Tribolium castaneum: one gene and its partners. The protein of the gene in region 5 binds, or shares a complex with, the protein of the main gene of each other region. Links are inferred from orthologs where the notes say so. Each region holds a gene or a part of one and is shown on either strand. Other genes may lie near its edges. The genes, in order: wmd, Sf3b5, ncm, crn, SmE, SmF and 116 kDa U5 small nuclear ribonucleoprotein component.

Region 1 (3,573 bases), on a different chromosome or scaffold from region 5:
AAACGGAAGCTGATAATGCGGGAAAAATTATTTCCGCATCCGGGGCCCCTGAAATAGCATCATAACCCAATTCTTATTTTTTTTTTTTTGAATGACATAACCTCACTTTTTATCTTATTGTGATTACGCAGTTTTTATCGTACCATAGCGGTAATAAATTGGAGCTTGTAATTTATAAAGGTTTTTTTGCCTCTTACCGTTTTTAATTATGTGGAAAATGGGGGAAAAACAAGAGGTATAACCTCACTTTTTTTGTGGATTTTTTTTTCACATTTCTTTATTATTTATTAGCCAAGATCACTGAATGTAGCAATCGGGCCATTTCACTTCGTACTTATCAGTTTTATCACCTAGTGTTTTCCCATTGATCGACTGATTAAGGCCAGAACCTAACCTCGCTTTTTGCGATTCTTTGGTGCTTTTTCCTTGATTTGGGTCAACCGGTTTGTTTACAAATAACCCGCTTTCAATGTCAGGAATTTGGGACAAAAACTCGCCAATTTTCGTGATTATTTATTAAATATTCAAACAAATAGTAACATAAATAAATCAGTTTTCCGTCGCTTTTTCGTCTTCTGTTCACCTAATCGTGAAAGAACTACGAGTTACTTGGATTTGAGGAAGGAGGAGAAAACAAATTCGTCAAACAGCTAAATCGCGGGTACTTCTTTGGGTGACGTAATCGCGTCGTTGTTGATTTGGGGCCCGTCAACGCATTTCCAAAGTCCATAAGTCTTGCCAATTGTGGTTTGCCAAAGTCTTAAAGTGCCGTCTTCTGACCCGGAAGCGTACAATTCACCGTCGGGCGAGAATTTGACACAATGGACGGGGCCAAAGTGGCCCTTGAACGATTCGATTTCATTTCCAGTTGTGTAATCGAATTTGTAGACTTTCAAATCATCGCCACCGGCGACGAAAATCGTTTTGTCGGGGTGTAGCGAAGCCGAATTGACTGTCGTAGGAACGGAAAATTCTCTAATTTTGTTTAGAGATTCGGAGTCGAGGAATGTGACGTGATTTGAGTGGGTTACTGTGAGCACGGTGCCGTCTCTGGACACCTCAAGGCTGTTCGGAATCGACGGGAAGTCCATTTTCTGGACTTCCTGCAAAAAACTGTCTAGTATAATTATGATCAAGAGCGAAAGTTTTTAGACGGCCGGTCGTAGTAGGGCGACATCTTGCGGAATTTAATTTGTCAAAGTGACATTTACATTGTCAAAGTTGACAATTTTGCAAATTTGTTTTTTTATTTTTATAACGGCAATAACCTAGTAAATATTTGGAAACATGTATCATTTATCCCTTTCGAATGAAAAATCGTCTGATTAAAGCGGAAATTACATAATTTTGTTTTTTTTTCAAACGTTTTTTCTAAGTGTTTGAATTTGAAGTAGATTTAACTCGAATCTGGTCAATATTTTTTAAAGTAGCGACCGTCCGTCTAGAACAAAATTGACGTGGTTCGAGATTTGGTTACCTTTCCGGAACTCCGGTCCCAAACCCTCAAAGTCTTATCGTCCGCACACGAGACAAGATGCGTGTCATTCCTGAAAAAGATCACGTGTCTTATCCCGGAAGTGTGCCCCGTAAACTCCTCGGGTTCTGAAACAATAAATCAAATCGTTCCGATCAGAAAAGGAGCCAAGGCGAATGCGAGGCCACCTTACTCGCTTCGGGTTTATTCAGATCGAAAATTCGGACAATTTTTTCGTTGCTCCCCGTCGCCAATAAGGCACTGTCTTTGGAAAAGTTGACGCTTTTGACGATGTGTTTATGCTGGAAGGAGTGCAGTTCCTCGCCGGAGTTGGCGTCCCAGACCTTGCCGGTGAAGTCGGCGGCGCCGCTGGCGGCCTTGGTGGCGTCCTTGTTGAGCGCGACGCCCCAAACCGCCCCCTTGTGGCCCTCGAAGGTGCCGATCCAGTCGCCGGTGTCCCCTTGCCTTAGCATGGGTTTGCCGTCTGAAAGCGGCCTCGTACGGTGAATCCAGGCCAAGGTAAATGTCGCCGAAGGTAAAGTTTAACTTACCTTTGCATGCCGAAATTAGGAAATAGCCGTATTTTGTCACCGAACTGAAGTCGAGATGGACGACGGGACGAGTGTGGCCGCTACAGGTTAAGGGGGTTTGACGAAGATTTGCCATAGTTTTCTATTTTATTAGGTCAAACGGTACAAAAAAATTATACTAAAAACCTACACACCACACTAACACGAGGAGTTCAGAAAGCGAACTGAATTTGACAGCGTCAACAACAGCTGGGAAAGTGGCAATAAGGGACGCATGCGCGGGTGTATAATTGGTTACCTACCAATCACAAAAAAATTCATAACTCGGAAACTAAAAGTCGTAGAGCAATGCGGTTTGTTCCATTGAATTCAGCGGTTCATTTTCTGTATTATACCAACTTTTCATGAGATTTAAAATTTTCAATTTTTTTGCTCAAATTTCCTGAGTTATATTATAATACACTACTTACCTTCAAAGAGATGAAAAAAAAATTTTTTTAAACTGACTTCAGCAAATTTTTATGGACTTCTACATGTCTTAACAACCCACTAAAGTTGTTAAAGGTCCACAAAAAGTCCATATGTTCAATTTTTTGATGTTTGATTTTTTCAATTATCGTTGCAGTTTTTGTCGGTTTTGGGTACCCGGAACATTTCTCGAGCAATAGCTCCGGAACTATTAGAGATAACCCCATGAAGTGTATTATCGTTGGAAAGCTCTTTAAATTATCTTTTTTTTTCAAAAAAGATTATTCTTCTCCGACTAATAGTTTTCGAGAAAATTGCTGTTAAATGCAAAAATTGGTAAAATTTTAAAAAATTCATAACTAAAAAACTATTGGGAATTTGGCAATTTTCTCGATGCCAATTGATTCCCCGGATCATTTTGCATAGGTGTGGATCAAAACAGTTCCACTTTTTACAATAGTGTTTAGCCGTAAATGAGAAAATAAAAAAATTAAAAAAAAAGTTAACACCCCCCCCCAAAATCGGCCAATTTTTAAAGTGTCTCAAAATCAAAGGAAACCCATTCTGTCTTATAGATTTTGATGTGCTCTTTACGATCGAACAAACCGTTTTCTTCTAGCTCTTTTAGTTTGGCCGTAATCGGCGTTTGAAAATTGAAAAATTATTTGCGAGATATCGCCTTAAGTCCTATGCCATTTTGTAGAGTTTTTTATTCCGGTTATCCTCCATTTTTCCGTTTCTCGATATCTTTAATAGTTTCGCCGTAATTGACGATTGAAAATTGAAAAAAAGTGAAAACGGAAACCTTTTTTTGCGTTTTTCTCGGAAACTGTAAGACTTAGAGCAACGAACAAAAAACCATCTGATAGCGCTTAATTTTGTCTATTTTTTCGACCAAACCCGGAGCCGCTCCGGGCAACGGTTCCGGCTACAGAGGCGATCAAAGTTTTTCACTAAAAAAATTCATAAAAAAAAATTAAAAGTCGTAGAGCATTGCGGTTTATTCGATTGAATTCTACGGCTCATTTTACATATTATATCGATTTTTCACAAGAATTAAAAATTTAAAAATTTTTGCCTAAATTTAGGATAGCCATTTGT
Region 2 (2,264 bases), on a different chromosome or scaffold from region 5:
TATTGTCACTATAATTGGTAAATAAAAAATAAATATATTGAAAATCTGTTTTTTTTTTATAAAAATGCAGCGAACTAAAGCTAAGAATATTCTCTTAAAGTCATAAATTATTGTACTAGAAAAAATTATATTCCTAATAAGGGTAATAAATAAATACATTTTTAAATGCCCTTCCACTACCTTTAGAAATTTTCCTCCATGTTTTTATTAAAGAACTTGAAACACTATTTAATTTCCAAAACTTTTTATTCGATTAAGGAATACATATCTTCGGAATGATTTTAGTGATATCTTGCCTATGTAATACAGTAATACCTATTTAAATGTAAGTTAATTTTGCGGCGTGTGTGGAATACTCTATTAGTGCAATTAGTATTGACACAAATAAAGTAGGTATTCTATTCTAATAAAGGCGAAATGAAATACAAAGTAGACCTTTCGGCTACAATTATTTTAGTTATCGGAAGAATTCTAAAATGGTCTTTTAAAAAAAACAACGATTATATGAAAATTTTTATTGACTTTACTATAATCTAATCCTCGGGTTTATCTGGAGGTGGACCACACGGTTGAAGCATTTTCTCCATTAGATTAAACCTAACTCGGGCTTTTGCCTCGTTCTCACAAATCGCAAAATAATTTAACAAATCGTGGTGCCCCAAATAACTGGCGTAACTGTCTCTATGCTGGTTCAGCAGCCATTCGTATTTCGTTATTTCAGAGTGGCCTGTTCCGATATATTTCGATTGGAGATGCTCCAACTGGCTGTGGATGTTGTAGCGGTCGCCCATTACTTTTACAAATTGCAGTAAATTACGAAATAGAGACACACAAAGAAGAAACACACTTTTGTTTTGATGCTCCTAAGTTCACCTAACCTCGAACTCAACTCACTACTCATTAGTGTTAAATGTTAGGGTTGCCACTGTTGTTCGGCAGCAAAAAAGTCCCTAGGTTTTTATTCCTCTCGCTAACATTTATTATACAGGGTGTGTTGTATTTCTGAAATTTTCTTTAGGTGCCACCAAAAATGCTATACTATTTTCACTTGAATAACGCGCAATTGTAAATATGAGCCTTAAAAATCCTTCGTTTTGTAGTGTAACAGGATAGTGGTCAGTCTCTCTATTATTATATTATATTTTTCGTTTATAATACACGTGTATTAACATATATCAGTAGGAGTCGTTTATGGCTATTAAAGTACAGTGTACTTTAATGAATTTAGGGATATTTAGTTTTCAAGAGTTTCATCGATAATGCGTGGAATACACGTACGATCGATTTAATCATCATTTCTTCTTTATTTATTATTTATTACCGTCACCAACTGACACGAAATTCCCTAGACGACAAAAAAATTTAATTAAAATAAGAAAAAATCATAAAAACATTCTCGTTTTATAAGGGTTTTGGCGCACTCATCCCATAGAAAACTTGTTTTTAAATATACTATTATTTATTATTATATTATGTTATGCTAGTTTTTATACTTAGTAATTTTTTACGTATATAGACATTATGTGTTTATTTGGTCAGTTTTTAACTGTTTTGAGAAAAAAGGAGACGAACTGAAAAAATGGGGAAAAATACGTATATTATTAGCTGTCTCAAAACTATAAAAACGCTAACGTCGCATTTTCTCTCAAAATTAGCTATTATAAATTATTCATGCACTTCAAAAAAATAATAACTAATGTAATTTATAGTTTCAATAAGAGATTTAATCAATAATAACTATTTCATATTTTTATCAATCTTATTTAAAAATAAAATCGGTAAAATGCAACGTTGGCGTTTTTATAAATTTGAAACAGCTAACAGACATTTTTTTGTGGAAAAAAATTCTTGAGGCCATATTTCAGCCGCTCACGCTAAATTTGTTTAAACCTAATAAATGGTTAATGATAGAAATATGATATGGCAGACTTTCTCGGAAAAAAGCATTCTATACACTTTTTTCAACCATATTTGCAGCGTTTTAAAAAATATGGTGAAAGTTTGCTTTTTTTAATATTGTTTATGATAATTTTTGTGCTTTTATTTCTTGCCATCGAAAATGTAGGCCCACTTTCATAATCGAATTTAACGGAGCATTAAATTAAATGTTTTTTGGAATGTGTGAAAGATTTGTGAAAAATAAACATCTACTTTAATGCTCTTTTAAACCCGATTATGAATGTGGCCCTAAATGCTCTATCAGCCTGTAGTTTTTGTTTGCGTTATACTTATCGTAATTTAAATATAACCATTTTTTATCAGGA
Region 3 (4,291 bases), on a different chromosome or scaffold from region 5:
TGGAGGCCTTATTTTCGGTCTTGTTGCGCATTTTACGATAACCCTTTTGTGACCTTTTTATCGGAACTGCACCCAAAACTATAATTAAAATTCTTTCCCCTAACTACTCAAGCGAGTGGTCAATTAATTTCTAAAAAAAGAGCGATTTGTGCGAAATAATTATTTACCATGACTGCAAGTTCCACTTGTAATTATTCCAAGCAAGATGATTAACAAAAGTCGCAACCTTGGGCCCAGCACCTTTAGCACCTACACCAACCCGGCACGCTTTTTTACTTAGAAAAAGTACCAAAAATTGGGCAAAATTTTGGAAAAATGGGAGAGGAGAACGCGCACGGTATCGGCACCGAAAGGTTGAGAACCAACTGAATTGCTATAGCATGGGTACTCTCCATAAAGCAGCCTCGGGCTCTTTTGTACGGATTGGTTTCGTTGGTCGATCTTTGAAACAGCTGGAGCTGGGTTTAAGTTCACTTGGCAGTGACCTTGATGCCTCGAAAACGCTGCATTCGCACTGTTTATTGTTCAAACTGTTTAATAAAATATGGTACACGCAAACATTTCACATATTCATGGGAGGCCTCCGCGAAATTCCGCAAAATTAAAATGCGTGACCTTATCGTTCTCCGCGCCGATTTTTTAAAATCCACAAACTGAATAAAATACCTTGTAACACTTTCAGTATGCCGTAAAAACGCTCTTTTCACCGCGGAAGTATTGTTGAGAAATCTTTGATCGAACTTGTTATTGTGCCATAAAAATTTAATTGTACGCTAGAGCTGTTATTAGCCACTATTATCGGTTTTTGCTTGTTTTTGCACCAACAGCCATTTCTCTTCAAGAAAAAGCGAAAGTCTGTGTCAAGTTATTCATTTTATGGGAACACATTAAAAGTCGCTGTCGAAGTAAATATTCTGAAAATATCGCGACCTGAGAACCATAAGGTTCTGACTATTTCACAATTTTACAATATCATATCTTGTCTTCTCAATTGCCTGAAATGTTATCATAAAATATAACACGTATTATATGTTAATCTACAAACAAACAATACACAATACAAGAAAAAAATAGCAAACTTTTCAGACATGCTCTACTTAAAATTTTATTGTTTTGAACTTTTAAATCAATATTTAAGGTTCCAAAGTAACAAATTTTGCCAAAATTACTTCCATGTAGGTACTTTTTGTTTTCTATCAATAGCTAAACGTTACATCATCTAGTTTTCTTTTATTTAACATTTAAAGATCATTAAAATCCCAAAATTCCCAGGTCGTGATATATTTTTTAGGCAAACGTGACCCCCAAAATCACATTCAAATTTTTTTGAAATTTTAGATTTGTCACTAATTTAGTAAGTCTGTAAATTTTCAAATATGTCTGGAATTAATAAAACCACCAATTCCTGGCCCTCTAGTTATGTTATAATTGCGTAAACACGTACATATAATTAATTATAATTTATTCTAAATGCACAAAAAAATCTGGCGACTTTAAAATTCAAAAATAGTAGGGAATTTGTCATTATCACCAGTGCCACATAACCTCAACCTCTTGCGTTGTTGTGTGTTGTCAATAATCGCCCCAATTTCTTACTGTGTTTTTGTGAGTGCTTAAAAAATGACCACCGACACCGAAACCTCCCCACAGCCCAAACCCAAGCGTAAAAGCCGCTCCAAATCCCCTGAATCCCGTAAAAAACGTCGTGACGACTCGCCCCATAAAGACTCCCGGAAGCGTTCCCGCCGTTCGCGTTCACGAGACCGTCGCAAAAGTCGCAAATACCACGACTTGGACCGCCCCCTTGAAGAATACCCTCGGTATTACGGCGAGGATCAAGAACACAAGAAAAACAGCGATAGATATTGGACCAAATACCCCCGCAAGGATGACCATCAGGTGGGTAGTAGGTATTACGGGGGCGAGCCCGACGATAAAGACAAAGAGTCTGAGAAGGAGACGGATAAGTCGGTGATAGCCCCCCGTGAGCGCAAAACCGTGGATTTACTGACACGGACAGGTGGGGCTTACATCCCTCCAGCGAAGCTGCGGATGATGCAAGCGGAGATTACTGATAAGAGCTCGGCGGCGTATCAAAGAATTGCGTGGGAGGCGTTAAAAAAATCCATTCATGGGTTTATTAACAAGGTGAATACGTCCAACATTGGGATTATTTCGCGGGAATTGCTCCATGAGAATGTGGTAAGGGGGCGCGGACTGCTCTGCAAGTCCATAATACAAGCGCAAGCTGCGTCCCCAACTTTCACAAACGTGTACGCAGCCCTGGTCGCTGTCATCAATTCGAAATTCCCTAATATTGGAGAATTGTTACTGAAACGTTTGGTTTTGCAATTCAAGCGCGGTTTCAAGCAGAATAATAAAATTATCTGCATTTCGGCCACGACTTTTGTGGCTCATTTGGTTAATCAGAGGGTTGCGCATGAAATTCTCGCCTTGGAGATTTTGACTCTTTTGGTGGAGACGCCAACTGATGATTCGGTTGAAGTTGCGATTTCGTTTCTGAAGGAATGTGGACAGAAATTGACTGAGGTTTCGAGTAAAGGCATTAATGCCATCTTTGAAATGTTGAGGAATATTTTACATGAGGGGAAGTTGGAACCGAGGATTCAGTACATGATTGAAGTTATGTTCCAAATCAGGAAGGACGGGTTTAAGGATCATGCCGCTGTTATTGAAGAGTTGGATTTGGTGGATGAGGAGCACCAGTTTACACATTTGATTACGCTGGATGATGTTAAGCAATCAAATGCTGAGGATATTTTAAGTAAGGAAACTTTTTAATTAGGTGGAACTGTACTTAATTTTTTATACAAAAAAATCGGGGTATCCAGGTTTTGAGATTTTTTATTATTATTTTTTTATTTCTCAGAAAAAATTATTTTGAAATTTTAATTAATTAATTCCTTAATTTGCCTCGTTCACTCTGTGATTATCCTGTCTAGATGTGTTTAAATTCGACGACAACTACGAGGAAAACGAGGGGAAGTACAAGACTTTGAGCAAGGAAATCCTGGACATGGACAGCGAGTCGGGCTCCGGCTCGGAGGAAGAGTCCGGTGACGAGGAAGACGACGAAGACGAGGACGAAGAGGAAGAAGAAGGCGCCCAAAAGAACGAATCCAACATAATCGACAATACGGAGACCAACCTCGTGGCCCTACGCAGAACAATCTACTTAACCATCCAATCAAGTTTAGATTTTGAGGAAAGTGCCCACAAACTAATGAAAATGGAACTGAAACCGGGCCAAGAAATCGAATTATGCCACATGTTCCTCGACTGTTGTGCCGAACAACGGACTTACGAGAAGTTTTACGGATTATTGGCACAGAGATTTTGTCAAGTGAATCAGATTTATGTCGAGCCATTCCAACAAATCTTCAAAGACACGTACGCCACAACACACAGACTTGACACAAATAAATTGCGAAATGTTAGCAAGTTTTTCGCACATTTGTTGTTCACCGATGCGATTGGATGGGAGGTTTTAGAAATTATGAAACTGAACGAAGAGGATACCAATAGTTCCAATCGGATTTTCATCAAGATTTTGTTCCAGGAATTGGCCGAATATATGGGCTTGGAGAAGTTAAATGCCAGGCTTAAAGATGCGTAAGTGACTGTGTTTGATAATTAACGAGGTTTTGTTAATTTTTTGGATTTTTTTCAGAACGCTTCAGCCACATTTTGAGGGGCTGTTTCCGCGCGATGATCCCAAAAATACAAGATTTGCGATTAATTTTTTCACGTCGATTGGCTTAGGGGGGCTTACGGCCGAGTTGAGGGAACATTTGAAAACAGCCCCTAAAGTCAATCCCTTGACGATTACTGAAAAATCAAGTGATTCTAGCAGCAGTAGCACTAGCAGTTCAAGCTCATCCAGTTCCGATAGTAGTGATTCGGATTCGTCAAGTTCCGAAGATGAGAAACCACGTAAGAAGAAGGAAGAAAAGAAGAGGAAAAAACCGACAAAAGAAGCATCAGACGATGATAAAAAACGAAAAACAGATGCGAGGAAACACAGACATAATGAGAGACGGTCACGCGATCGAGACGATCGGAGGCGGCGTAGGAGCCCCGAGAGGAAGCATAAGAGTAGGAGATAAGTTACTTTGTACATAAATTGTATTGAATAAATATTTTTATTTGTGACTTGTGTTTGATTCCTTAAAGTTACCAGATTTGAATTTGGCGCTTAGTCAAACCCACACTTTTGGCATTTTTTTTGACGAAATGTGGGTGTTAATTAAATTGCGTGTTTGTGCTTTTG
Region 4 (4,161 bases), on a different chromosome or scaffold from region 5:
TTTTATTCGGGCAAAGTCACATCGTACACAATGCGCAAATAGGGATCGCTATTGAGCCGCTGGCGAATATTCGGGAAATCGAATCGGCGAATAATCCCAGTAATAATGTCACGTTTGCTCAGAAAATGTTGGAGAATTTTATGAATTTTGTGCTGAGTTATACGGTGACGCAACCGCAAATGGTCCCAGATCCCACGGCCACGTACGTTCCGTTGGCTACAGTACAGAACTGGTACACGAATTTTGAACGACGGTTGCAACAAAACCCCAATTTTTGGAAAACGTAGAGGAATGTGTGCATACGTGTGTCTTGTGTTCATCAAAGCTGGATTATGGCGGCTGTTAAGTCTCAAAACTCACTCGCTTTTAATGTATTTAAATGAATAAAGTATCGATTTTTTTATTATCTTATCATTTGCCCACAAAAAATTAATTGTTGCAGTGCAAAATCGTTGACCAGATAGCGCTTGGATAAGTGACAAAAGGGGAATAAAACAAAATTTAAACCTTAATTCTATTTTCTCAAAATCACGGTTCCGGTTCTTCCGTTTGCTTCTGCTTCTTCCAGCTTTTGGCAGCTGCCAATAACTTCAAATTGGGTTTACTGGCCTCATCCTCAGGGAATATATAATCAAAGATCTCCTCCCATCCTTGCTCAACACCATCCTCATCAATAACCTTCCTTCTCTTCTTAATCCTCCTTGGCATTTTCCCTTCAACTTTCTCCTTCGTCTCCTCGCTCCCATTTGCACTTTCAAACTCCTTCCAATTCTCCAATAACAAAACCCTCGCCTCCTTCTCCCCATAACTCTTCAAACTCTCATTAGCCCGCTCATAAACACGCCTTGCCAAACTAATATTCATATCCGACTCACAACTCAACTCAAACTTCGCATACGACAACCAAACTTTCACATGACTTGTCCTCTCCAACAATCTTTCGTACAATTGTCGGGCATTAGCCCACTCTTCTTGCCCGATCTCAAAATCGATATAGGCCTTCCAGAGCAGCTCAGGCATGTCTAGCCTTGGCTGAGCGATTGCCAACTCATAAATGGCCCTAGCACGCTCAAAATCCCCCAAAAGTGTCTCCAACTCGGCAAATTTCATCCAAGTCACACAATTTTCCGGACCAAACTCTAGATATTTCCCGTACAAAATACGACACCGGTCAAACTCACGCAACTGTATCTCTATATCAATATACCCACGGAACAATTTATCACGTGGGCATTTACCAATGGCAGTCCCCAAAATTTTACGAGCACCAATCAGATTCTTCCGCCTGATTTCAAACTGTGCAAACAACAACCAAATTTTACTAAACGTGAATAACTTATGGGGGATCAAGTCAAGGCAAGCTTTATAAACCTGACGTGTTCTTTCATAATCAACCGCTTCGATTTCCTCAAACAGGGCGTAATTAATCCACAAGTAAATATAACGCCTCCAGTATTGTTTATTTTTCGTTGGTGGCACGTTGGCTATGGCCCGCTCATACGTCTCACGTGACGTCTCAAGGTCCCCTTCCCCCTCCACCAGTCTCAAATAGTCAAACCAAGCGTCGTAATTGGTCGGATTTTCGAGTATCTCTTGTTCGTATTGAAACTTACGTTTCGAAACAATCACATCTTCAATACCGGAACGATCGCCGTACTTTTTCTCATGTATGGTGTAGGCTTTGTACAGCTCTTTCGCTTGTTCTTTGGGGAGATGGTCCAAGGCATACTTGTAGATAACGCGAGCACGGTCATGTTCTTTTTGGTTTTCTTCAAACCGTGCAAATGCAATATACAATTTTTCGTCCAAATGGTCATCACCGTAAAAATGTACAGCTCGTTCGTAAATCAAGCGGGCCGAGTTGATAAAACCGTGATTTTCTTCAAATCGGGCGTATTTAATCCAGTGTTTGACTTCGGGATGTGTTATAACAAAGCGTTCGTAGATTTCTCGCGCACGGTCGATTTCTTTGTATCTTAACTCAAAATTGATGTACGTTTGCCAGGCTTGTTCCTCCGGCTGCCACTCCATCCAGCGTTCAAAGACAGCTCTGGCCCCAGCCACATTCTCCAACATCTCCTCCATGTAGGTGTATTTGTACCAAAACTGGTTGATTCTGGGCAAAATCGTGACGGCTCTGTCCCATAAATTTCTAGCATGGTTCACTTGACGGTTTCGCATCTCCATTTCAGTGTATTTTAACCAAATGGTAACGTTACGATGGTCCACATCCAAGGCACGTTCAAATATCGAACGAGCTCGTTGGATTTCCTTTTGCGATTCTTCCCAATGGGCATATTTAATCCAATTGGAGATAACAGTTCGATTTTTTCGTATGTTGTCTTCGAATTGTTTACGGCGTCTGAGTTGGTAGTCGGCAAGTTCAGCTGGATCGGAGATTTTTTGCTTAGGGGGCGGAGGGAGAATCTCAAGGTCGCGCTCTTTTGCCTCGCGAAGGAGCTGCTCGGCTGTGATTTGGATCTCAGCAGGGGCTTTATTTTTCACCTGGAAAATTATTTTAGTTAGTTATTAAGTTGAAAGAGAAGGTAAATAACGTACCTTGGCCACTTTGGGCATCTTTTGCGGCTTGGTTTCCATCTCAGGGGCGACTTTTACCAACTTGTAGCACAACAAACAAACACGAACATAACCTTACGATTTTTTGTGGTTATGTTTGGACCACACAAATTGTGAAATATCGTGCCTTAAATTTTGATCGAGTGTTTGTTTGTTGTAATATAGATTAAACAATAATTTACGTAAGTAATTAAACTCCGCAAGCCAGTTTTTGTATTATTGGATTTGTAGATTTGCACTGGTGACGCCACATGTCGCGCACAATTACAGTTTTCTGTTTTTTTTTTAAATAAAATTCGAGAAAAATTACAAAATTTTATTGCATTTAATTTTGCCACAACTTTAAGACTTTGTCTTTACCCCCCGAGGCCACTTTGGAGCCATCTGAGGCCCAATCAAGCGCATAGACCTCATCCCCATGACCTGGCAGATCAATTTCCAATTTCTTCTCCCTCAAATTCCACAATTTGAGTGTTGAATCGGCACTTCCACTCACTAAAAGTCTAGAATCGGCCGAAAACGAAATCACATAAACAGCCTGTACGTGCCCCCTTAACGTACAAATAAATTTACCACTTTTGGCCTCCCATAATTTAATACTCTTATCAAACGAAGCCGAGGCAAAAATGCGACCATCTGGTGAAAATTTCACATCGTTAACTAATTGTTGGTGCCCCGTGAGCCGATTTAACGGCTTCTTGTCTTTTGAGGGGGCCCACAAAAACAAAGTGAAATCATCGGAGCCCGAGACGAGTCTTTCATCACCGATAGGGTTAACGATTTCGTTGTAACGACGCAGGACGAAGTCTTGTGATTGGATTTGGGTGTCTTTGACTGGGTCAAACGCCCCCAATTTGAGGATATAATCAGTGTTGAGGGCCAAAGTGTTGACCCAATGACCGTGCCCTTCTAACGTACGACACAACACACCGTCTTTAGCCCTCCAAACTTTAACAGTCCGGTCCTGCGAAGCCGTATAAAGGAGCCCCAGACCGCCCCACTTGACCACAGTCACACTTTTCAAATGCCCAGAAATAACCCTAGTACAAGAACACAGGACCGTATCCCAAATCCTGACGTCACAATCTTTACTCGCCGAGGCTAGAAAGCGACACTCGGCGTTTTGGTGGTAGGGTTCCCAACTCAGGGCCGTGACCCATGATTTATGCCCAATTAGAGTTTTACCAATCTGGGCCCCATTTTCGGGGTTCCATACCACCACCTTGCCGTCTTTACACGCCGAAGCTAGTTTACGCCCATTGGGGGCCCACGCAATGCACAACACCCAGTTCGTGTGCCCTTTACATGTCTTAAAAGGTGTCTGGGTGTCCACGTCCCAGAACCGAACGGTTGTATCGCCAGAACCACTCGCTAGGTGTCTACCATCGGGGGAAAAACTCACGGAAATGACAGCTTCGGCATGGCCTGGCATTGAACTTGTACATCTTGTCACGGGACGCACTCGGAACACGGCTTGTTGCTGGTAGAGGATGTCGATGACGGTTTCGGTGTTCAAGTCCGACAAGTTTAAGGTTTTTTCGAGCGAATGTGTGATTTCGGTGTCGTTGGCGTAAAAAATGTACG
Region 5 (2,467 bases):
ATTACAAATAAATAAGAGAAAAAAAAAATTTAATTTACCAATCAGAAGTAAGCGGACGTGAGAAATGACATGTGAGAGGTGCTGGCACACTCTGGCCCTCTCTTCTTCAGTCCAATGGGCTGTGGGTTGGGTGACACCAGCTTGGTACTTTGCCCAGTTTAAAATTGCTCTCCAGACATCCTCTTCCTCCAAACAGAGCTAAATTGAAACAGTAATAAATGATTTTAAGTAAAATTTTAAAACTTACATAATCTGAGGAGATTAATTTTAAGACTGCTTCTTTGGGAAGAGAAAGAAATGAGTTTGTTTTTACACATTCTACAGCATTTTCGCCAATGTAGCTGACGCAACGTTCGACAAAACCTGTCGCAGCTTTACCCCCTACAAAAAAAATATATTGGAACACCTACAAGCTTCACAATTCTAAAAAAGCGATAATTACCTGTATTGTCCATCACATTTTAATTTTAAGGACTTTGAAGTTATAAAAATAGACATAATTACTAAAATAATTTTAATGTCCGCATTTCTTTTACAGAAAGTTGATGAATCACTTAATACTAAGACCAATTGCGGTTTTCATACAAACACATTACTCCAACGAATGAAAAAATTGTTATGAAACTTAGAATTACGCTACAATTTACAACTAATTGCCTGATTGAGGATTCACGTTCTGTATCAGCGTTATGTTATCTCCTTTAAGCATGATTCTTCCCAGCTGCCTCCTGTTCTTCGTTTTAACGTAATATTCCTCAGCATCATCCAGCACAAGATTCATGTATTCATCAAAACCCACAATGTGCCCCTCGATTCTCAGATTAATGTTCTCGTATAACCACACTTGTACACGTGAACGGTTTTGTAAGTAACGAAAAATTAAGTTGATGGGTTGTACCATCACTTTTTGAACTTTTTGTGGTTTGTACGCCATGGTTAGAGGAGTCTTGGGTTACCGGCAAAAAAAGTTCTTTAAGGAAGCTAAGTGCAAACACACTTTCACACAGCACGAATTATTCGTATTAAGAGAAAAAAACTTGTTCAAAGTTTGCAATAGTATTTATAAAACTTAAAAAATGAGGCGACGCTTACAATACGACCAAAGTAAGGTTATCTGTGTGAGTTCTGTATTCTGTTGGCAATCGTGGAACGCGGGAAGCTTGACGAGCTGAAATACACCAGAAAAAGGTCTGGTGGTTTGGTCGTTTTTAGGCTGTTTCGAAACTATAAAAACACCAACGTCCCATTTTTTTTCCAAAATTATTCACGCAGAATTATAGTCGCACAATTTATATTTTGGGTTTTCCTTAACTAATCAAGCTGAGTTATTCCATAATTATCATCAGATGGGCGTAAATGTCTCGAAAAAAATTTTTTTTATTCTCATTTAGCTTTCTTTGACGTGATAGTTTTTTATATATTTTTTTTGAACTTGGTGTCTCATAAACTCAATTTTTTTTTAATAAGGTTGATAAAAATGTAAAATAGTTATTAATAAATAAATCATTGAGACTATAAATAACATTACCTATTAGTTTTTTGAAGTGCATAAATAATTTATAACAACTAATTTTGAGAGAAAATACGAGGTTGGCGTTTTTATAGTTTTGAAATAGCTAATATGAGGAGTTGCGCCGTGTCTTACACACACACAATCGTCAATAGGTCTTTCTTTGTCATTGTTACCCTTAATGACACAATTTTGGTTTTGGCGGGATAATTTTACGTGACTTTAAAGAAAAAAACGACAAGCTATAAACTCGATATAAAGATGTGAAACGACATTTAAATCAACTCTTTACTGAATAGGAAGGGTTATTTTGCTCAAAAAGTTAGATAAATGCCTGAAATCACACTTAAGAAAAAATTGCCAAGAGTGCTTTGACTTTGCACCAAATGGATGCTGCTTTTAACAGTTGTCATCGCGTGATTGTCAGTCAGTGTTGTTATCTCTCAGAAAATCGAACGAAACTAGTGATTATTTGGACTGGGTGGTTCAAAAATGCAAAGTGGGGCACCTGTTTTTGTGGAATATTTGTGAATTTGAAAGTGCGGGCGCGCAGACTGTGACCTGGCGCGATGCGCACAACGACCTGCCCCTTGACTGTGTTTATGGAGAATACTCGGGGAAAAACCGGCTCAAAAGACACATTTTTCAATTTGGGTAAGGTAAGTGCTACACCTTTGCGGCCCAAAACCTCTTTGAACCTTAATTTTTTTATTTGCACCGGAGATTATTTTTATTTATATTATTTATATTTTCCAAACTGTGATGAAGTGTAAAGTGTTGTTTGAGTCTTAATAGCCCCAAAAACTAGAATTAGGCGAGAAAAATCTCAAAATTAATGCCAAAACGATACAAAATTGATGTTAATGAGCCCTAGCCGATCCCAAAGGACCAAAGGATCATTTATATGAAATCTGTGCATAGGGGTTGAGTGTTTTTTCCCAATTTTCAAATGCTCAA
Region 6 (2,318 bases), on a different chromosome or scaffold from region 5:
AAAGGGTTTTTGAATTTTTTCGCTTCGGCCCAAAAAATATTTTTAGTATTTGACTCTTCATTTGATGACACTTAATTTTTTTTTAATTTTTCTTGTGACCAATGTGTGCCAAAGTTATCAAATTAAATTAAATTGATGCTTTTTAAAATATAAAGTATGTTTTGGCTCCCTCTCGGGTAAATGCAAAAGCAGGTGTATGAGAGGTAACTGTAAGTGCAGGGGAACTTTCTTCAGTTGTGCTGCTATCTGTTCGTTTTGCCGTTAACTACAAGGATTTAATTTACATTTTTGGTACTTAATTATCATTTCCTTATTCCATTATAATTATTTATAGAACACTGTATGTATCCCCCACTTTATAGCGTCCTTTAATGTTAAACAAATAAATATATTTTTGTATTTTTTTTCAAAAGCAAGTTCTCTTGTTTATAATCCGTAACAGTTTGTGTATTTTTTTTGTGGTAGACAATCGTAACGTTACATGTAGAAAAAAAAACAAGTACTTTAACACGATTTATTTGGTAAAAAATTAAATCTACAATACTTATTTACGTAAGTATCCGATCGTACATTTAAACTTGAATTTACATTAAATAATTAATCCTTCGTCTCTCCCTCCTCGTCCTCTTCTTCAGCCCCTCTTATGAACAAGACATTGTTACATCTAATTAAAACTTCCCCTAAGTTACCTGTAAAAAAATGTTACACAAGGGGGTCCGCCTCCAAAGCATAGTTACATACCAGTCATATTCCCATCAATAAATTCCTCTGTGTTTGCTAATTGTAAATTCATGTAACCATCAACTGAGACAAGGTAACCTTTATATTCGTGCCCCCACTTCAATTTTACCATCACAGCCTTGCCTGTTAGGCCGTTGAGGAAAGGTTTGGGGTTTATGGGCATTGCGGTCGACATGGTTGTTGTTTTTGTGTGCAAAAAATCGCAAATAAACTAAAAACGTTGACACAACGCTAACCAGCAAAAGTGAGGTTGGAATCGAGCGACAATTGTGTCAATTGTCAAAATTTCCATCCACCATCGACGTATAAAAAGTTGATGGGTGTCTGATTTTTTAGGGCGCATATTGTTTTTTTGTGATTCTTGGACTAAAATTACCGTAATTAAAAAAAACAAGGATTGTGGTCAATTAATGATTTATTGGCGTTAGAATAAATAACTGTGCGGGGGTTGATTGCCGGCTCTCTATTTTACCAAACCGAAAAATCATTGCCAACCCCCCAGTGCGAAAATCCGAAAATAAAAATTTGTGACATGTGTTTTACATAATTTCGTGGAAAAGACTGTGTTAGGGTAAGCCCCCTCTAGTAATAATCCGGCACTGGTGCACAGGCAATCTTAACAAAATCCTCGTACCGCACCATACTGTTGTTATTAACATTTGCCTCTCTGAAAATCCGATCAATTTCCTTGGCCGAAAGACACTCGCCCCAGTTTTGCAACATGTGACGCAGCTGCTTGGCCGGAATCACCCCTTTCCCCTCCGGGTCCCCAGCCTTGAAGGCGTCCACCACCTCCTTGGGCACGTTCTCCACCCGTGAGTGAATATGCATAACCTCCAAGAAGTCAGCAAAGCTCATTTTGCCGTTCTTTTGCTTGAAATAACCCGCAAGCTCTGAGATGGTGGGCGACAGCCCCAGACTCCTCATTATCACTGTGAGTTCGTCCAGGGACTTGATGTGCCCCGAGCGCGCAAACAAGTAGAAACACTCGCGAAATTCTACAAGATTTACGAGTTAGTTTGGGGGGCTATCACGGGGGTACCTACCGTCAATGTCTTGCTCCTTGAAGTAGCGGGCCTGAAACAAGCTTGATTAGGTTTGGGGTGGGTTTAGCGGGTTATTTTTACCATTTTTCTTGTAAATATTTACACGTCAATTGTATTATTATTATCAAGGTGAAACAGGTGAAAGTACAGTTAGCGTCACGAAATTTGGCACAGACTCGTCATTAATGAATTATTTATTTTTATCTCTGATAAAATGATGATTTTATCGCCCAATTGTGCCAGGTAATTGTTTGGGGCCCCGATTAGTGGGAGCCCTTAATCAGGGTTGTAAACCCCCCGAACGAATCGATTTATCGCCTCATTTCTAACGTAATTTATTAATAAATAAAGTTATATAACAAAACAGCTCGTCATTTGCGATAGTCTTATCACTCCACGCTTAGATGTTGTTAAATCCCCGTCCAATTAAAAAAAGGTAACACACTTTGAACTTTGCCTCCTTTCCTCCGACTCTCCTCTAATTCTTCATTCCCGTTCCAGTTGACCCAATAATGCCTTGATTAGTCTTCC
Region 7 (3,500 bases), on a different chromosome or scaffold from region 5:
GACTCTTGCATAAACAGAAATACAACTTCCTTATTTGTCAATGCTTTTGAAGATACGTTCGATGAATAAAGAGATGGGGTTTATAATTATAAAACCTAGAGTTTTCAAAGATATGAAATTACGATTTTCTTGTTTTTTAAAATTGTAATGTTCTCATTTTTTTGATATTAAACGGTTTTACAACGTGAGGTTTCTAAATTTTATTTATTTTATTTAGGGCTAATAGTTCATTAAACATTAGAGTTTTAATTTTATTTTTCATTTTTATCAATTTTATTTAAAAAAATAATTCGGTAAAATGCGTTGTTGACATTTCTGTCGTTTTGAAACAGCTGGTAGTACCAGTTAAACTGTTTGCAATTTATTTTTGTTTCACATAACGGACGGGACAAAAAAATCTTGTGTGTGAAAATATCTCTAAAAAAATATTCAGCCAGGTTTTTTAATTATTAAAGACTAACATTATCAAAATTAGACAGAAATTAAAAATTTTTGGTCTTGGTTAACGACGTAAGAAATAAGAACCACAATAACGGACGGGACAGCAAAAATTACGAAGATATAAAAATAATATTACTAATCAATTTACTTACCGATTTCAATTTTCTACCAGAAACTAGAAAAATACTCTTCAAAAGATGTTCAACACTTGTAGTACGTCAGTATTTTATGTTCCCGTCTACAAGACAATGTACAGGGTGTCCCACCGAAAAGTGCACCCCCTCGTAACTTTTTTATTTATTAATCAATTCAAACAAAATTTAAATTACATATATTTGGACCAAAGGTCCACATTTTAATGTAACCATTTTTTTTGTAAATTTTAGAATTCACTGAATTACTTCAATTTAAATGATTATCCTTTCCCATTTTAAATCCACAACAAAAAAAAAACTCTTGTCACAAAATACATTAAATATAAACCGAATTCTTAATCGAAACTTAACATTACTACGATAATTTTGAAAATTTCGGTGTCATTATTCCTGAAATGGTTGATAATACGAGTAATTAATTGCATTTCTGCATGAAAAATGCGTTAAAATGCTCGTAAAATCATTTTTGATTTTAATTTTTAATGAATTGTATAGGTGCGAATATAATGGAAAACTCGTAAAATTACAATACTGGGTGAGTCATAATTAAGTCTACAATTTTATGAGGCGAAACGAGATATAAAATACCCAAAAAATTAACACAGCTCCAAATTATTTTAAATCAATTTACATTTAACTAATTTATTAATCGTGGAATAAAAGCACAAATATTCTTAATAAACTGACGAAAATCGAACAACAAATATGAGAAAAATATATTTCTATTAAAAATTTCAATTTTGCGCTGTGTGATATTTTTCAAAATGCTGCGAATATCGTTAAAAATCCATGAAAAATTTCCTACAAAAAGTTCTCGGTATTTTTATCTTTAATTGTGTGCTGTGGTGCCTGTGATTTTGTGTTTTTAAAGCAATTTAAACCGATACGGTTGAACATAATTGTATACTTTGTCCCTTATATTTTATTGTGTCTTTTACCATTTATTTATTTATTCATTTATTTATTTTACCATGAGGTTAAAACATCATGCGATTTTCTAAAATTTTGATCTAGTTATCCATGACAGTTACTTTAACTCGATGTACATTACGGAAATAAGTTTCCAACATATTTTTTTTATGTTCTTCGGTGAATATTTTGGACATATTGACAGATAAAGCGATGCTGAAATTATTTACGCAATTCGGAAGTAAAATTACCGTTGGGGGCGCCACTGAACTAGGTCGAAAACAGTAACCATAAATGGAGGGAAAATGTTTATTCGGATATTTTGAGCGTTGTACGAATTTTGGGGCTTCACAATTATTACATTGCCTATGCGGAATGATTATTGCATCTTTGATGCAAGAAACTTATGTTGATAAATGAGAGATGACGAGGAAAACACGAATAACGAATGACTGTTTGGTTCACTTTCTTTATTGGAAAATTATTACAAAGACATTGAAAAGCCTACCTTTTGGCATAATTTACGTTTAAATGTATCAGCAGTTGTTAATCTTTATTGTAGTTTTGTAGATTTACCGCAGCATTTCATGATTTTTTCAGTGGAAAATTCTAACCTAAAATTCACACACTTCACTAATTTATTGGTTTCTTGAGCCAAACTTTGTGTTCGCTGTGATCCATTACTTATAATCTTTAATTAGACAACTGTTTGATAACACTTTGTAATCAAAATTTAAATATTTTTCACTTTTTATCCACTTTCAAGTTCCAACAATAAACACTTTATACCACGAAAAACTACAGAACCAAAGTCAACGCTAGTATTTACCACCACGTACTTTTAAAGTGATTCTTTCTATTGTAAGTAATTAACACTATACACGCAAAATTGTTGAACAATTCATTAAATGTCAGTTAAATGTGGCATTACGAAAATTTCTTTACTGTTTTCGACATAGTTCAAAAGTCATCACCAGAGGGCGTCTAGTTAATTTTATCTCCGAATACGTTTCACTGTTGGCGTAACTGTCATGGATAACTAGATTAAATTTAAAAAAACGCTTGTTTCTTTCTTTGTTTGATTTTCTGTATTTTTTCACAACTTTTACCTTTAACTATTGAGAATTGCTCTAATGGTCTGTAATTTTTTTAGCTGATGTCGATAATTTCTAAATTAACTGAAGTTTTCCGATTTTTTAACTTCAATTTACTTCTCGGGGCAGTTTACATATGGGCGTTTAGTTCAAAATATTTTGTCTATTGGGTAGATTTTTATTTTTCCAATTTTTAGATTTATTTAAGAAATGTGTGACTCGAAAACTATACGCTTTAGAGCCTTACATGAAAATACTGGGAATACATATTTAAGTTTCTGGAATGACGTTACATAAGAAACATAAATAAGTTCGTTTGTCCGGAATAAAATGGAACTTGTTAAAATTTAAAACAAAAAATTACTACGTCCTGTCTTTAACTAAATTACTATTTTTCTAATTAATTGATAAGCATCTGCTTGTCATAACACTCATAATATAACATAACCGTCGTAATGTTTACCATTCGCCCCCCCTCCAAAAATAACAACAAAAAACAATTAAGCCCTTATCAGATTCGTTAATAAACCCAGGAGCAATTTTTTTGCGCGTCTCAACCGCAATAAATGAGGTAACCAACGAGTTGTAAAATCTCGTTTAGCCCCAAGGCCGTTCATCTAGAGATAAGTTCCATGACCTCGACTAATGAATTAATGATAACGAGTTGTTTACTACGTCTTGACTTTCAAAAATTCTAAAAATACCGCATTATTTAATCAAAATTCCAGATACAAAATCGAGCTAAACCGCGTCCCTGCCGGCAATTGGGTCCTAATCGAGGGCATCGACCAATCAATCGTTAAAACAGCCACAATCACAGACCTCACAATCTACGAGGACTTGTACATTTTCCGCCCCCTTAAATTCAACACCCAAAGCATCATTAAAATCGCCGTGGAGC

Evidence for each region.
Region 1: SmE (region 5) and wmd share a complex: the UniProt entries of both Homo sapiens proteins name them as parts of the SMN-Sm complex. The link is inferred for Tribolium castaneum from reciprocal best matches to the Homo sapiens genes SNRPE and STRAP.
Region 2: SmE (region 5) and Sf3b5 share a complex: the UniProt entries of both Homo sapiens proteins name them as parts of the minor spliceosome. The link is inferred for Tribolium castaneum from reciprocal best matches to the Homo sapiens genes SNRPE and SF3B5.
Region 3: SmE (region 5) and ncm share a complex: the UniProt entries of both Homo sapiens proteins name them as parts of the minor spliceosome. The link is inferred for Tribolium castaneum from reciprocal best matches to the Homo sapiens genes SNRPE and CWC22.
Region 4: SmE (region 5) and crn share a complex: the UniProt entries of both Homo sapiens proteins name them as parts of the minor spliceosome. The link is inferred for Tribolium castaneum from reciprocal best matches to the Homo sapiens genes SNRPE and CRNKL1.
Region 6: SmE (region 5) and SmF share a complex: the UniProt entries of both Homo sapiens proteins name them as parts of the U7 snRNP complex. The link is inferred for Tribolium castaneum from reciprocal best matches to the Homo sapiens genes SNRPE and SNRPF.
Region 7: SmE (region 5) and 116 kDa U5 small nuclear ribonucleoprotein component share a complex: the UniProt entries of both Homo sapiens proteins name them as parts of the minor spliceosome. The link is inferred for Tribolium castaneum from reciprocal best matches to the Homo sapiens genes SNRPE and EFTUD2.

Annotation. Positions count from the first base shown.
Region 1 is NC_087399.1:1,129,087-1,132,659, forward strand, and holds wmd (serine-threonine kinase receptor-associated protein), read right to left. Parts: upstream 2,257-3,573; 5' UTR 2,141-2,256; coding exon 2,026-2,140; intron 1,959-2,025; coding exon 1,668-1,958; intron 1,603-1,667; coding exon 1,478-1,602; intron 1,104-1,477; coding exon 651-1,103; 3' UTR 501-650; downstream 1-500. UniProt on the Homo sapiens protein: The SMN complex catalyzes the assembly of small nuclear ribonucleoproteins (snRNPs), the building blocks of the spliceosome, and thereby plays an important role in the splicing of cellular pre-mRNAs.
Region 2 is NC_087396.1:17,669,933-17,672,196, reverse strand, and holds Sf3b5 (splicing factor 3B subunit 5), read right to left. Parts: upstream 972-2,264; 5' UTR 848-971; intron 794-847; 5' UTR 792-793; coding exon 534-791; 3' UTR 501-533; downstream 1-500. UniProt on the Homo sapiens protein: Component of the 17S U2 SnRNP complex of the spliceosome, a large ribonucleoprotein complex that removes introns from transcribed pre-mRNAs.
Region 3 is NC_087398.1:673,937-678,227, reverse strand, and holds ncm (pre-mRNA-splicing factor CWC22 homolog), read left to right. Parts: upstream 1-1,491; 5' UTR 1,492-1,620; coding exon 1,621-2,785; intron 2,786-2,963; coding exon 2,964-3,633; intron 3,634-3,691; coding exon 3,692-4,127; 3' UTR 4,128-4,173; downstream 4,174-4,291. UniProt on the Homo sapiens protein: Required for pre-mRNA splicing as component of the spliceosome. As a component of the minor spliceosome, involved in the splicing of U12-type introns in pre-mRNAs. Promotes exon-junction complex (EJC) assembly.
Region 4 is NC_087400.1:96,392-100,552, forward strand, and holds crn (protein crooked neck), read right to left. Parts: upstream 2,697-4,161; 5' UTR 2,599-2,696; coding exon 2,560-2,598; intron 2,506-2,559; coding exon 529-2,505; 3' UTR 501-528; downstream 1-500. Other genes in the region: protein OPI10 homolog, read left to right, coding at 1-287; Nle (notchless), read right to left, coding at 2,903-4,161. UniProt on the Homo sapiens protein: Involved in pre-mRNA splicing process. As a component of the minor spliceosome, involved in the splicing of U12-type introns in pre-mRNAs.
Region 5 is NC_087394.1:32,141,501-32,143,967, reverse strand, and holds SmE (probable small nuclear ribonucleoprotein E), read right to left. Parts: upstream 1,152-2,467; 5' UTR 935-1,151; coding exon 650-934; 3' UTR 501-649; downstream 1-500. Other genes in the region: kelch-like protein 21, read right to left, coding at 39-198, 248-381. UniProt on the Homo sapiens protein: Plays a role in pre-mRNA splicing as a core component of the spliceosomal U1, U2, U4 and U5 small nuclear ribonucleoproteins (snRNPs), the building blocks of the spliceosome.
Region 6 is NC_087398.1:3,706,351-3,708,668, forward strand, and holds SmF (small nuclear ribonucleoprotein F), read right to left. Parts: upstream 1,033-2,318; 5' UTR 917-1,032; coding exon 742-916; intron 690-741; coding exon 598-689; 3' UTR 501-597; downstream 1-500. Other genes in the region: calmodulin-like protein 4, read right to left, coding at 1,324-1,739, 1,788-1,818, 1,869-1,871. UniProt on the Homo sapiens protein: Plays a role in pre-mRNA splicing as a core component of the spliceosomal U1, U2, U4 and U5 small nuclear ribonucleoproteins (snRNPs), the building blocks of the spliceosome.
Region 7 is NC_087401.1:10,807,705-10,811,204, forward strand, and holds part of 116 kDa U5 small nuclear ribonucleoprotein component, read left to right. Parts: intron 1-3,327; coding exon 3,328-3,500. UniProt on the Homo sapiens protein: Required for pre-mRNA splicing as component of the spliceosome, including pre-catalytic, catalytic and post-catalytic spliceosomal complexes. Component of the U5 snRNP and the U4/U6-U5 tri-snRNP complex, a building block of the spliceosome.